Linked DNA regions of Callithrix jacchus. The protein of the gene in region 1 interacts with the protein of each later gene in a pairwise test. Links are inferred from orthologs where the notes say so. Each region holds a gene or a part of one and is shown in the gene's direction. Other genes may lie near its edges. The genes, in order: HPGDS, ABHD17A and MELTF.

Evidence for each region.
Region 2: the proteins of HPGDS (region 1) and ABHD17A interact in binary tests that used the Homo sapiens proteins (3 or more experiments, as listed by UniProt). The two-hybrid records come from large-scale screens. The link is inferred for Callithrix jacchus from reciprocal best matches to the Homo sapiens genes HPGDS and ABHD17A.
Region 3: the proteins of HPGDS (region 1) and MELTF interact in binary tests that used the Homo sapiens proteins (3 or more experiments, as listed by UniProt). The two-hybrid records come from large-scale screens. The link is inferred for Callithrix jacchus from reciprocal best matches to the Homo sapiens genes HPGDS and MELTF.

The regions. Positions count from the first base shown.
Region 1 is NC_133504.1:103,242,620-103,247,043, forward strand, and holds the start of HPGDS (hematopoietic prostaglandin D synthase), read left to right. Parts: upstream 1-1,541; 5' UTR 1,542-1,584; intron 1,585-4,424. UniProt on the Homo sapiens protein: Bifunctional enzyme which catalyzes both the conversion of PGH2 to PGD2, a prostaglandin involved in smooth muscle contraction/relaxation and a potent inhibitor of platelet aggregation, and the conjugation of glutathione with a wide range of aryl halides and organic isothiocyanates.
Region 2 is NC_133523.1:1,781,821-1,784,961, reverse strand, and holds part of ABHD17A (alpha/beta hydrolase domain-containing protein 17A), read left to right. Parts: intron 1-603; 5' UTR 604-841; coding exon 842-1,173; intron 1,174-2,324; coding exon 2,325-2,519; intron 2,520-3,141. UniProt on the Homo sapiens protein: Hydrolyzes fatty acids from S-acylated cysteine residues in proteins. Has depalmitoylating activity towards NRAS. Has depalmitoylating activity towards DLG4/PSD95. May have depalmitoylating activity towards MAP6.
Region 3 is NC_133516.1:25,126,054-25,129,699, forward strand, and holds part of MELTF (melanotransferrin), read left to right. Parts: intron 1-2,432; coding exon 2,433-2,620; intron 2,621-3,333; coding exon 3,334-3,514; intron 3,515-3,646. UniProt on the Homo sapiens protein: Involved in iron cellular uptake. Seems to be internalized and then recycled back to the cell membrane. Binds a single atom of iron per subunit. Could also bind zinc.

The DNA.
Region 1 (4,424 bases):
GCCTCTGTGGATCCGTGACCAAGGATCAAGTGGCGGCTCCTTCCCCAATCCGTGAAGTGTTACTTTGCTTTCCTCTAGCCAAAACAACTGGTTGTAAGGAAGAAAACTGTAATACAAAATGAGACAAATGCTATTTTTTGTATACTTGACTTTTTTTTTTTAACTGAAGCAGTCTCTTATTATATAGAGAGGCAGCATCCTGTAGGGAAAAATATTAAATGTGTCATCAGAAGGCCTAGGTTTTAATTCTAGCTTGTCTCATCAAAAATTCACAGGCAATTTACCTAATTTCCCAAGTTTCAATTTCCTTATTTATAAAAACAGGAATTAAAAATCATTGAGGTGAGGATAAAAAGATTTTTTGAAAATGTAAGTTAGAACTATCAAAGATGATAAATACATTGTGTTAATTTTGTATAGCTCCCACTCCCAACCCATTTGCACTTGATTTTGACACACATGTATCGTTTTTTGGTGATTCAGAGCTACACTTGTGTCTACTCTAACTTTTTACAAACAAGTATTTATATTTATTTTCATTTCTGATGTTTATACCAAGTGGATGTAAACATATTTTTTGAAGTTAAAGTCACTTTAGAAATCAGAAATAAGACGTGATTGAGAGGTTGCTATTGCTGCCTGTGGGAGTAATTTCCTGGAAGTTGAAAGCCTTCTGGTCATTAAAATGTTTCATGAACAATCCTCAGGCTCAGTAAGGCCCAGAGGTCATTTTATTTGATCTTTTCACTGTGCTGTCCTAATATCATAGATGAAATTAATTCCTGCACAAGAAGTGAAAAATAAATTTCTCAAATGTCTAGGCATTTGTTACTAAATTGTAAAAGGATCACAAGCAAGAAGAATTGGAAACTTCTACACCAGGTTTACTTTAAACCCTTTGGCTTTTCTGAGAAATGAGGGTAAATGAAATATACCAGCAGCAATGCAAATTTACAGTCTTTGAAAAGATGTGAACTATAAATTAGGGTCATTCTATCATCAAATGTTTATCAGTGCCCATGACATGGCTGGCACTCCTCTTAGTACTGAGGAGGTAACAGTAAACAAGACAGTGAACTGCCTGCCTTTACAGAGCTTACGTTCCACTAGGGGAAACCAAAAACAAGCAAATGAAATACATGACATTGTTAGACACTCCCTTGAAGGAACATACCGCAGGCACGGGAGAAACTGTTTCTAAAATAGGGAAGCAAGCCATGTGTCCATATGCAAAGATGACTGAATTGCATTCAGGTTGTCTTATTCTCCAAGAGTCTATGGTGTGAAACTAAAAGTAAATGTAACAGTGGGCATACATATGCAGCTATAACTTTGACTTTACCTTTTATGCAAATGAGTTGGGTTATTTACACCCAGATATCCTGTATAACCAGCAGTCTTTGCAGGCTTGAATTGCCTGGCATGCGTGTTTCATCTAAGAAAAGAAAGAAGAGCTTTAGGTGGAAGGAAGTTGCCTGTCCTCTCATTGGCTTGTGATTATCACTTACTCGTCATAAAAACCCAAGGCACAGTCATATACCAAGGGATAGAGGACACTACAGACTCCTGAGAGACACAACACAGGTAAGTAATATTATTGAACTCCGCAGAGATTAGTGACTGAGGAACTCTTTTGTGAGCTATTTTCATGACGGTACTCACTCTGACCTTGTTTACCCAGAGCCTCACCGTATATATGACTCTGTAAAAATCCAATGGTCATTTTTAAGAGAAATTAGGTACAGGAGATTTAAAAAGATCTCTTCAAGTGGATTTTAACATAGAAAATATAATCAATGCTAGAGGAAAAATCCTGTCTTAATCGGGGTTTGTGACTACTGCCAGAATTTTCCCAAGAGATTTTTCAATCTCTTGGATTGATCGAGTAGGGAATTTTATCTCATGGCTCTTCACTTTCTTTCCTTTTCTTTAAAGTTTAAGAATTTTACTTGTAATACTTTCTATTATTTTAAGCCACATTTTGTTGAAGCATCTCCATGTTTTGACAAGAATTGCATCCCATTGTAACCGGTTTTTTTCTTGGGTACTGGTGAGGCACAGCTCACCTGAGAGAATGCTGTGGGTTCTTGGCCTCTAACCTCTTAAAGAATAAGCGATGGGACCACTGCAGGTGTGCCGTATGCTTGTGGAAGTAAATACTGGACCGAAGAAGTGTTGCAGAAAGGTGATTTTATTTAGGCAGAGAAAAGAGAAGGAAAGGAGAAGAGAAAGACTTCCACGAAGAGTGTGGAAGGGGATTCCAGAGGGGAAATCTAGAGGGGAAAGGGAGCTCCCACCGTGTGGGATGGGATTCCAGAGAGCTGGAAATCCGGCATGGGTGAAGGAGCAGGGGAATTTATTCTGGGAGAAACTCCCACCTTCCCAAGTTCCTTAGGCCAATGAAAGGAGTTCCTTACAACTTCCGCTGAAGTGATTGACTCTTAGCTTCCCTTCCCCCCCCGCCCCCCGCGGCCTCGAAATTCAAACATAAACCTTTGAATCTCCCTGATGGAGAGATGGGAGGGGGGCATGGCATTGGGAAATTCTTGCCCTTAAAACTACGCTCCCTCATGTACCCGGAAAGAGAACACAATCCCTTATTCCCTCATCTGAACAGGAAAATTCAACTTTTGTTGGAATAGGGGCATCGATCCTCTTTAACTACTTCGTGCTGAAATGGGTTGTAGAAGGGGCCCTGCAGTTGAGGTTTCCTCCAGAGTGGAGCCCTTTAAGGGTGCAGGTTGATTTACAGATTTATGATAGAGCGGCAGGATTAATTGTGACCTTATGGTTTTATAAGAAATGAATATGACCAGGTGGTTAAAGATGAGAGGTGCAGAGTTATAAACGAGCCTAGGAGAGAACAGAGCCAGGATTTTGAAAGTTTCTAGCCCCTTTTTTGATTGATTCCTGAGTTCTACGTTTAAAATAACACTTAACTGGTTTACAAAAGAGCAGCATTTTTCCTAGAAACAGGTTTCCCTCCTTTTTGTTGTTAGCAGATTTAGGGCCCTTTTTATTTTTTTAAGCTATGGTACCTGAAGAGTTAAGCTGGTTCGTAGAGATAGATGCTTTTTGCAGAGAGAATTAGCAACCTTTCTTTGTTATTAACTTTTGAGATAGCTTATAGTAACTGAATAGAAGTATTAACTTTTCTATACCAGCACCAAGTTTCCAGGGCAGGAGAGAGATACTGAGAAGGCCATGCCAGCGCCCAGGAGAAGACTGGCTTCCTGGACCTTCACGGCTAGCTTTACCTGGGGCTTTCTGAGGGTGATGGCTCCTGCTGGCACTTGTTCCAGGCATCCTTAATCCTGCCATTGGGTTATTTGGTTAGACACCTCAGGCCCAGGGGACCTTGGTTCCCAGGGACAGTGTGCTTTCCGGTGATTCCCTTGGCACAGCAGGTACGGATGAGTTTATATATGTAAGTTTCTATCCAGGGTATTTATTAGTTATTTATTTATGTGTTCTTTGAGAAACGGTATAGGTTAGTCTTCAAAAAGAATTCTAAATGAGCTTTTTTAATCTATCTGCTGAATCAGTAACTTCACATGATTTACTTTGGGGTATAAGGAAGCCAGTGGTTAATTTTAGATGTAAAGATCTTCAAACACAATCAACTTTTTAACTTCATGCTTATCACTTCAGCAAACGTGCAGTTTTCTGTACATGAGATTCCTAACACAGTGACAGTGGACGGGTTCAGAAACAAAGCTAACAGGAAATAAGGGACCAGAACGATATTACAGTTTTGCTGGGGTAATCAAATCATAACCAGATAACCTAGGTGTTACTTCTGTGCGCGATAGAAAGTTGAGGTCTATTTATGCTTATTTTCCCTCTGTTGTCTCAGAACCATTTTAGTCGTTGCTTTATGTCCTCACTCTCTGTCATGTCTGTCCTTTATGTGAGGTTCTGTTTTAACACTCTTGATGCACGTCTGAACAAATATCACATTACAAGGCTTTGTATCTAACTCTTGCTATCTGCTACATCAAGTCTTCCTCTTCTGTTCTCCTTTTCTGTTTGTCTTCGCTGTTTCGGTCCTTCACATTTCCATTTGAAATCTAGGATCCAGTTTATCTGTAGAATCTCTTGAATAATTTTCAGTGATTTGCAATCAATTTGATTGCAAATGGACAGCTCTGTCACTCTCTTCCTACTACTTATAAATGTCATTTATTATTGTCTTTCATTATTGAATTAGCCAGACTGTCCAGCATTATGCTGAATAGCAGATGTTACAGTGGGATTCTTGTTATTCCTCACATTAAAGAAAATGCTTTTATTGGTTCACCATTATATATGATGTTTGCTGTAAGTTTTTAGTAGAGACTCTTTATAGTGTTAAGGAAGTATTCTATTACTCGTTTGCTAAGAGGTTTTTAATTTTGTTGATTTTTCATTTTGCTAAGAGTTTT
Region 2 (3,141 bases), on another chromosome or scaffold:
CCGTGCTCTGGAGCCTGGAATGTGTCCGGCCTTTGTTTCCAGAACGTTTGTTTGTTCTGCTTCCTCTGTCTCCAGAGTCGCAGGCCGGCGGGGCCTGGCCCCTGTGCTCCAGCACGTAGCAGGGCCTGTTCGGGTGCCCCGTGGGTCCCTTCTGTCTGAGCTCTGTCCTTGCCCCGGCCGCCCGACACAGGGGGCACTGGGGGGCAGAGATGGGCCAGGGGTGGGAGTAGGCAGGCAGCAGTGCAGACCGAGTCCTGGGGGCGTGGGGTTTCCCTGGTGCTAGGGCCGGGCATTATGGGGGTGGGTGGGGCTGGGGTCATATCCCCACACGCTGTGGCTGTATTCATATGGCAAAAGGGGGTGGGTGATGGCCAGCTGAGGGAGGGTGGGGGCCTTCATCCCATGGAGAGGGGTTTGAGTTTGGGGGTTCGCCGAGCCGCAGGGCACAGTGCCGGACAGGTTGAGGGAGGGCCGAGGGGATGAGGACGGGCCACACACAGGCCCATGCCGCACCCTCGCCCCTGTGGATGCCCCGCCTCCCAGGGGCACCCAGCTGGACTGAGGCACCTCCAAAGGGCCCCACACACCCGTGTTCCCCTGCAGGGCTTCCCGTGGCACGACATGGAGACCGGTGGTTGCAAGACTCCTGGGGGCTCGGCGTGGACCGCGATGGGGCTGGGCCCTGGCCTCCTAACGGGGCTCTCATCTGGGGCAGTGGCTGGGGGGGCACCCTCCCCCCTGCCCACGACTCGGAGCACCCCCACCCCTTCCCTGCCGGGCCAGGCCGGGCGGCGTTGTTGGCGGGGGCCCCGGAGGAGGCCCGGCCTGGGCGGTGCCCGCCATGAACGGGCTGTCGCTGAGTGAGCTCTGCTGCCTGTTCTGCTGCCCGCCTTGCCCTGGTCGCATCGCTGCCAAGCTCGCCTTCCTGCCGCCAGAGGCCACCTATTCCCTGGTGCCTGAGCCTGAGCCGGGGCCTGGTGGGGCCGGGGCCACCTCATTGGGGACCCTGCGGGCCTCCTCGGGTGCACCGGGGCGCTGGAAGCTGCACCTGACGGAGCGCGCCGACTTCCAGTACAGCCAGCGCGAGCTGGACACCATCGAGGTCTTCCCCACCAAGAGCGCCCGCGGCAACCGCGTCGCCTGCATGTATGTTCGCTGCGTGCCCAGCGCCAGGTGAGCAGTGCGGCCCTACCTGTGCTGGGTCACCCTGTGCTTGGGGCTCCCCATTCCGCCTGGGGTGCTTGGCATTCTTGGTGGCGCCCCAGAGGGCCCGAGCCTGCTGTGAAGGGCTGTCCGGCCGGCATGGGTGGTGTCCCCGGCCAGGCTGGCCTCATCCCTCTGGTGACTTCCTCTTGCATATGAGGACACCAGGCTCAGGGAGGCCCTCCCCAGCTGGCATGGGCAGGCAGTCTGGGCAACTCCAGTGGCCCAGCACCTTGCTGGTTGCTTGCCGGGCGAGAGGTGGGGCAGAGGGGCTATCCTGGCATGTGGGTGCTTCCGCCTTCTCACCCGGCGGAGTTCTGACCAGATCTGAGTCCAAAGGGCGAGCCTTTAGCTTCCGGCCGGGCTGGGCAGGGGCCTGGGGAACTGGAGGGGAGCAGTCCATGGGAGGCCAGCCTGGCCGCCTGCTCCTGGCGTGATCTGGGGCAGCTCCCGGGCCCGGAACAGACAGGCCTCGCAGCACGGCCTCCGGGCTCGGGCACAGTGGTGGGACGGGAGGGGCTGTGCGAGTGTGAGCAGGGATTGGCTGCGTTTGCTTGTTGGGGGCAGGGCTGGGGTCCATTTGTCCCCAACAGTGAGGAGAACATTCTGTGAGGGGGGCAGATAGCTCTGCTGGCAGCCTTGCAGGCTCCCCTGAGAAGGTCCTGAAAGGTGGGCCTGTACGCTCCTCTCCCCCGCCCCCCACCAGTGTCCAGGGTCCTCCAGGGGGAAAGGCTCTGGGGCAGCAAAGCCCCCCAGCAGCTGGGCATACTCGGCGAGTCTGTCCTGAGCAGGTGATGTAACCGATGGTCCCAGTGTCCTGCGTCACACATGGGAATCCTGAGGCTCCCCTGCTGGCCTCTGCATCCCAGGCTGCGTGTCCCCTGCCAGCTCTGCTGTCCTCTCCCCGTGGGGAGCCCTTTGAGATGGAGCTGGGCTGTTGTAGCCTCCCCTCCCTTTTGCGCCCCCCCCCACCCCCCCCCCCCGTGCTCCGGGAGGGGAGTAAACGAGGCACTGGGCGTGGCTGGCCACAGGGTGGGCTGTCAGCAGAGTCCCCCTGCCCTGGAGCTGGGCTTTGGGACGTGGAGATGAGGGCTGTGAGTGGCCTTTTCCGCCTGCTGCAGGTACACGGTCCTCTTCTCGCACGGCAATGCCGTGGACCTGGGCCAGATGAGCAGCTTCTATATTGGCCTGGGCTCCCGCCTCCACTGCAACATCTTCTCCTACGACTATTCCGGCTACGGGGCCAGCTCGGGCAGGCCCTCCGAGAGGAACCTCTATGCCGACATTGATGCCGCCTGGCAGGCCCTGCGCACCAGGTGAGGGCGGCCCCGGGGCAGCTCACCCGAGAGGACGCCAGGATGGGGGCCCGGGGTGGGCTTCCCTGGGAGGAAGGTGGGTGGTGTGGGTGGTCCTGCAGGAGGGGAGCCACCGTGGACACGTGGGGCCAGAGAGCGGGACAGGTGAGCTTGGGAGTGTGGCTGCTGCCTGCACATGGCTGAGGTGGGGCCAGGCGGTCCTCCCACACCCTAGCCTGGGAGCCCCTGGCCTGAGGACTGGAGGGGGCTGAGCTTGTCACGGGCGTGGATGCCACCTGGTGGGAGGGGTAGGTGGTGTCTGGAGGTCTGTGCACGTATGGCTGGGAGCCCACGGGCCAAGGCAGCACTTGGGGTGCAGGTGAGGCTGAGGCTGCTGCGTCCATGTCCTGGGGCCTGGCCCATGAGGCCCCGTGGCGGTGAGCTGGGCCATCCCGGGTGGAGCCTGCAGGCTCCAGCACACACTCAAGGTCTGGCCAGCCTCGACACCAGGCCTGGCCCTTCTGGTCATCGGGGTCCCCAGCCCGCACTGGCTTGGCCCCTTCACGGGTGTCTGAGCACTGGGCCGGTGCTGCTCTGGACACGGAGACCCGGGCGGGCCTCTGGAGGCCTTCTCTGCTTGCCA
Region 3 (3,646 bases), on another chromosome or scaffold:
CCTGTTCGTTAAAACCCCGCCACCTGCCAGCAAGCAGCAAACAGACTGTTCTGTCTGTAGTTTTGCCTCTGCCAGAATGTCTGATGATTGGCTTTAAAACAAAAAAGTCATTGTCTTTTTTCGCTGTTATTGATCATTGCCTTTTAAATCAGAAAGTCCATCACGTGGTCCATCATGAAGGCAAACATGGACCAGATCTGAGGAGGAAAACAAGTAATCTGCACACACCAAAGCATGTAGGATGATGTGTGCTACTGGGCGGTCCTATGAAAAGGGGCCCCTGTTCACAGACCCCAAGATGAGTCAGACAAAGGAGAATTTGGAAGATGGGAAAAGAATAGGAATATGAATCAGCTTTTTCAAACTTGGGGTTTTTTTTAAGATGGGATCTCACTTTGTTGCCCAGGCTGGTCTCAAACCCCCTGCCTCAATTGATCCTCGCTTCTCAGCCTCCTGAGGAGCTGGGATTACAGGCATGCATCTGGAAGCTTTTTCAAAGTTGTTTTTCTTTTCTTTTTTTGCCAATCAGTGTGAGCCTTGAACTCACGACCTCGCCTTCGCAAGCGCCACGACATCCGGCTGGAGCCACTTTGGACCCCCAAAGTTGTTTTTGTTTTAAATGAGATAGAGTCTCGCTCTGTCTCAAGGCTGGAGTGCAATGGCGCTATCTGTGCTCACTGCAACCTCCACCTCCCAGGTTCAAGTGATTCTCCTGCCTCAGCCTCCCAAGTAGCTGGTGTGCGTCACCAAGTCCAGCTAATTTTTGTATTTTTAGTAGAGATGGGGTTTCACCATATTGGCCAGGATGGTATCGATCTCTTGACCTTGTGATCCACCCACCTCAGCCTTCCAAAGTGCTGGGATTACAGGCGTGAGCCACTGCGCCCAGCCTTTTATTAGTAGTAGTATTTTTCAGACAGAGTCTTGCTGTGTCGCCCAAGCTGGAGTGCAGTGGCACGATCTCGGCTCACTGAACCTCTGCCTCCCAGGTTCAAGCGATTCTCCTGCCTAGCCTCCCAAGTAGCTGAGACTACAGGCACCCACCACCATGCCTGGCTATTTTGTTTTTTGGTATTTTGGGGTTTTTTTGTACTTTTAGTAGAAACGGGGTTTCACTATGTTGGCCAGGCTGGTCTTGAACTTCTGACCTCATGATCTGCCCACCTCGACCTCCCAAAGTGCTGGGAGCCATGGTGTCCTGTCAAGTGAGCCACTGCACCTGGCCTCAAAGTTTTGATGGTAGTCTAAGGAAATCTAAGGAAGTAATTTTTAATTAACTTTATACAAAAAGATTGATAAGCGCAAAAGAGTAGAATTGGCATAAGTGATTGTCATTGTTCTTGGCTGATGAGAAGTGGGAGTGGCTGATGGAAGTACCTAAATGATGCATTTGTCTGTGTGAAGGCAAATGATACCCCAGAGATCTAACCTCTGTTTTGCAGCAGCCTAAAAACAGAGGAAAATTGGGAAGCGTGGGGAGAGTCGCACTGAATAATTAAGAGTGCTGTAAAGTACCATGTGGCCATTAAAAATGACCTTCATGGAGTTTTTCCAAACTATTACTCCGTTGCGGGTTTTGGGTTTTGTTTGATAATAGCTTTGCAGGGAAAGCTTTCGTGACAGTACAAATGATCTTTTCCTGCCTATTTCCATGTAGAGGTTTTTTTCCCTCCTTGTCTTAAAGTCACAAAAATATTGTTATGTAGGACCATCTGTGGTTTAATTATAGTCCTTAATATTCATCTTCTCAGAATCCCTATTTGGTGTTAATAGTTACTCTTTCAAGTTTTCTTTTCTGTTGAGAAATAAGTGAGTTTATGGAAAGTTTTCAGTACTGTGGAAAAATTCTCTACCAAGTAGGATGAGAATTGCCTGTCGACTATGTCCTTAACCAGGTTAAAAGTGGGCAAAAGACAGGAAATAAAATAGAAAAAGGACTTGAAAGAAATCCATCCAAATATGAATAGCTGGAGTTAGGGAGTTCCCCTTTCTGGCGGGGTGCGTTTCCACCATGGCCCCTGCCCCCTGAGCCCTGACCCGTGCCCACTGCTCAGAGCCAAAGGTACTGCCCCATGGCAGCCTTGAGCCATCCTAGACTCTTGGTACATTTGTCTCTCTCATCCAAAGCCTTTATTTTCTTACTCTTTTTATCTTGAAGAGATAGTCCTATTTCTAAGTATTGTATTACTGTCAGATACCTCCAATCCATTTTAGCAATAGAAATTGGTGAGAGCTAGAAAATGGGAGGAATGAGATAGAGTCTTGTAGATACCTGGAGTTGGGTGCGGCTGCTGAGCTCTGTCACCTCCTGAGTGCTGGGTTCTCGTGTCCACGACACCCAGCCATCCCCCAGAATTCCTGTCCTACGCCTTCCCCGCCACCCACCACAACCCCTTTAGGAGCTGGCTCAGCCCAGGCTTCCTTCTTCCCAGGGAAGACACTGCCCTCCTGGGGCCAGGCCCTGCTGTCACAGGACTTCAAGCTGCTGTGCCGGGATGGCAGCTGGGCCGACGTCACTGAGTGGAGGCAGTGCCACCTGGCCCGGGTGCCTGCTCACGCCGTGGTAGTCCGGGCTGACACAGATGGGGGCCTCATCTTCCGGCTGCTCAATGAAGGCCAGGTGGGCTCAGGGTCCCCTGGTCCCCTTGCACAGCTTCCCAGGTGGTGCTGGGCCTTGTGGTTGCTCATCAGGGTGGGACCAGGAGGGGCAGGACCCAGAGACTGTCCTTGGGATGGACCCCAGCCTCGGGTCAGGTCAGTGTAAGGAACCAACTGCTCTGGCTGACTGGGAGGAGGGCTGGCCACGAGAGGGGGACCGAGAGACTTAGGCACCCTCAGAGGAAGCTCCTGGTACTTGTGTCTCTACGAGCCAAAACCAGAACATAACGAGCAAAACTGACAAAACCAATGCCTTTCAAAGCACACCATTAACTAAATGTGGTGAATAAGGTTTTGCTAAAACCACTGCTTAGGACAGCCATATATTTCTAACTGCTGCTGTCCCGGACTCAGTTTTGCCCCATCCAGGCTGCTATTGCCAGCCCCATGGCATGTCCTCAGGGCCCTCCCACCCCTGGCCACAGTTATGTGTCCAAACAGCTGAATGTGATGATGCTGAATGAACTCCGCGCAGACCCAGAACTGGCAGGGCCCAGGGGAAGGGGATGGCGGATTGGGGGAGATGCTGCAGAAGAGGGAGAGAGGCCTCCCCTGGTCCTCAGAGTGGGTGCCTAGTGTGAGGTCAGGGGAAAAGGAGGTGGTGGCTGAAATGGGAGGAAAGGATGTGGCCTGTCAGCACCCTCACCACCCTATACCCCACCCCTTGACACACAGCGTCTGTTCAGCCACGAGGGCAGCAGCTTCCAGATGTTCAGCTCTGATGCCTATGGCCAGAAGAATTTGATGTTCAAGGACTCCACCTCTGAGCTTGTGCCCATTGCCACACAGACCTACGAGGCGTGGCTGGGCCACGAGTACCTGCACGCCATGAAGGGTCTGCTCTGTGACCCCAACCGTAAGTTCATCTGTCCTGACTGCTGCCCGCTCCAGCCCAGCTTGACCGTAGGCATGGCGAGGCTCTCTAGGAAAGTGGCCAGGGGAAGATGCTCACCCGGGAGGCCTGGGATGTGCCTCTCAGCCTGTGCGG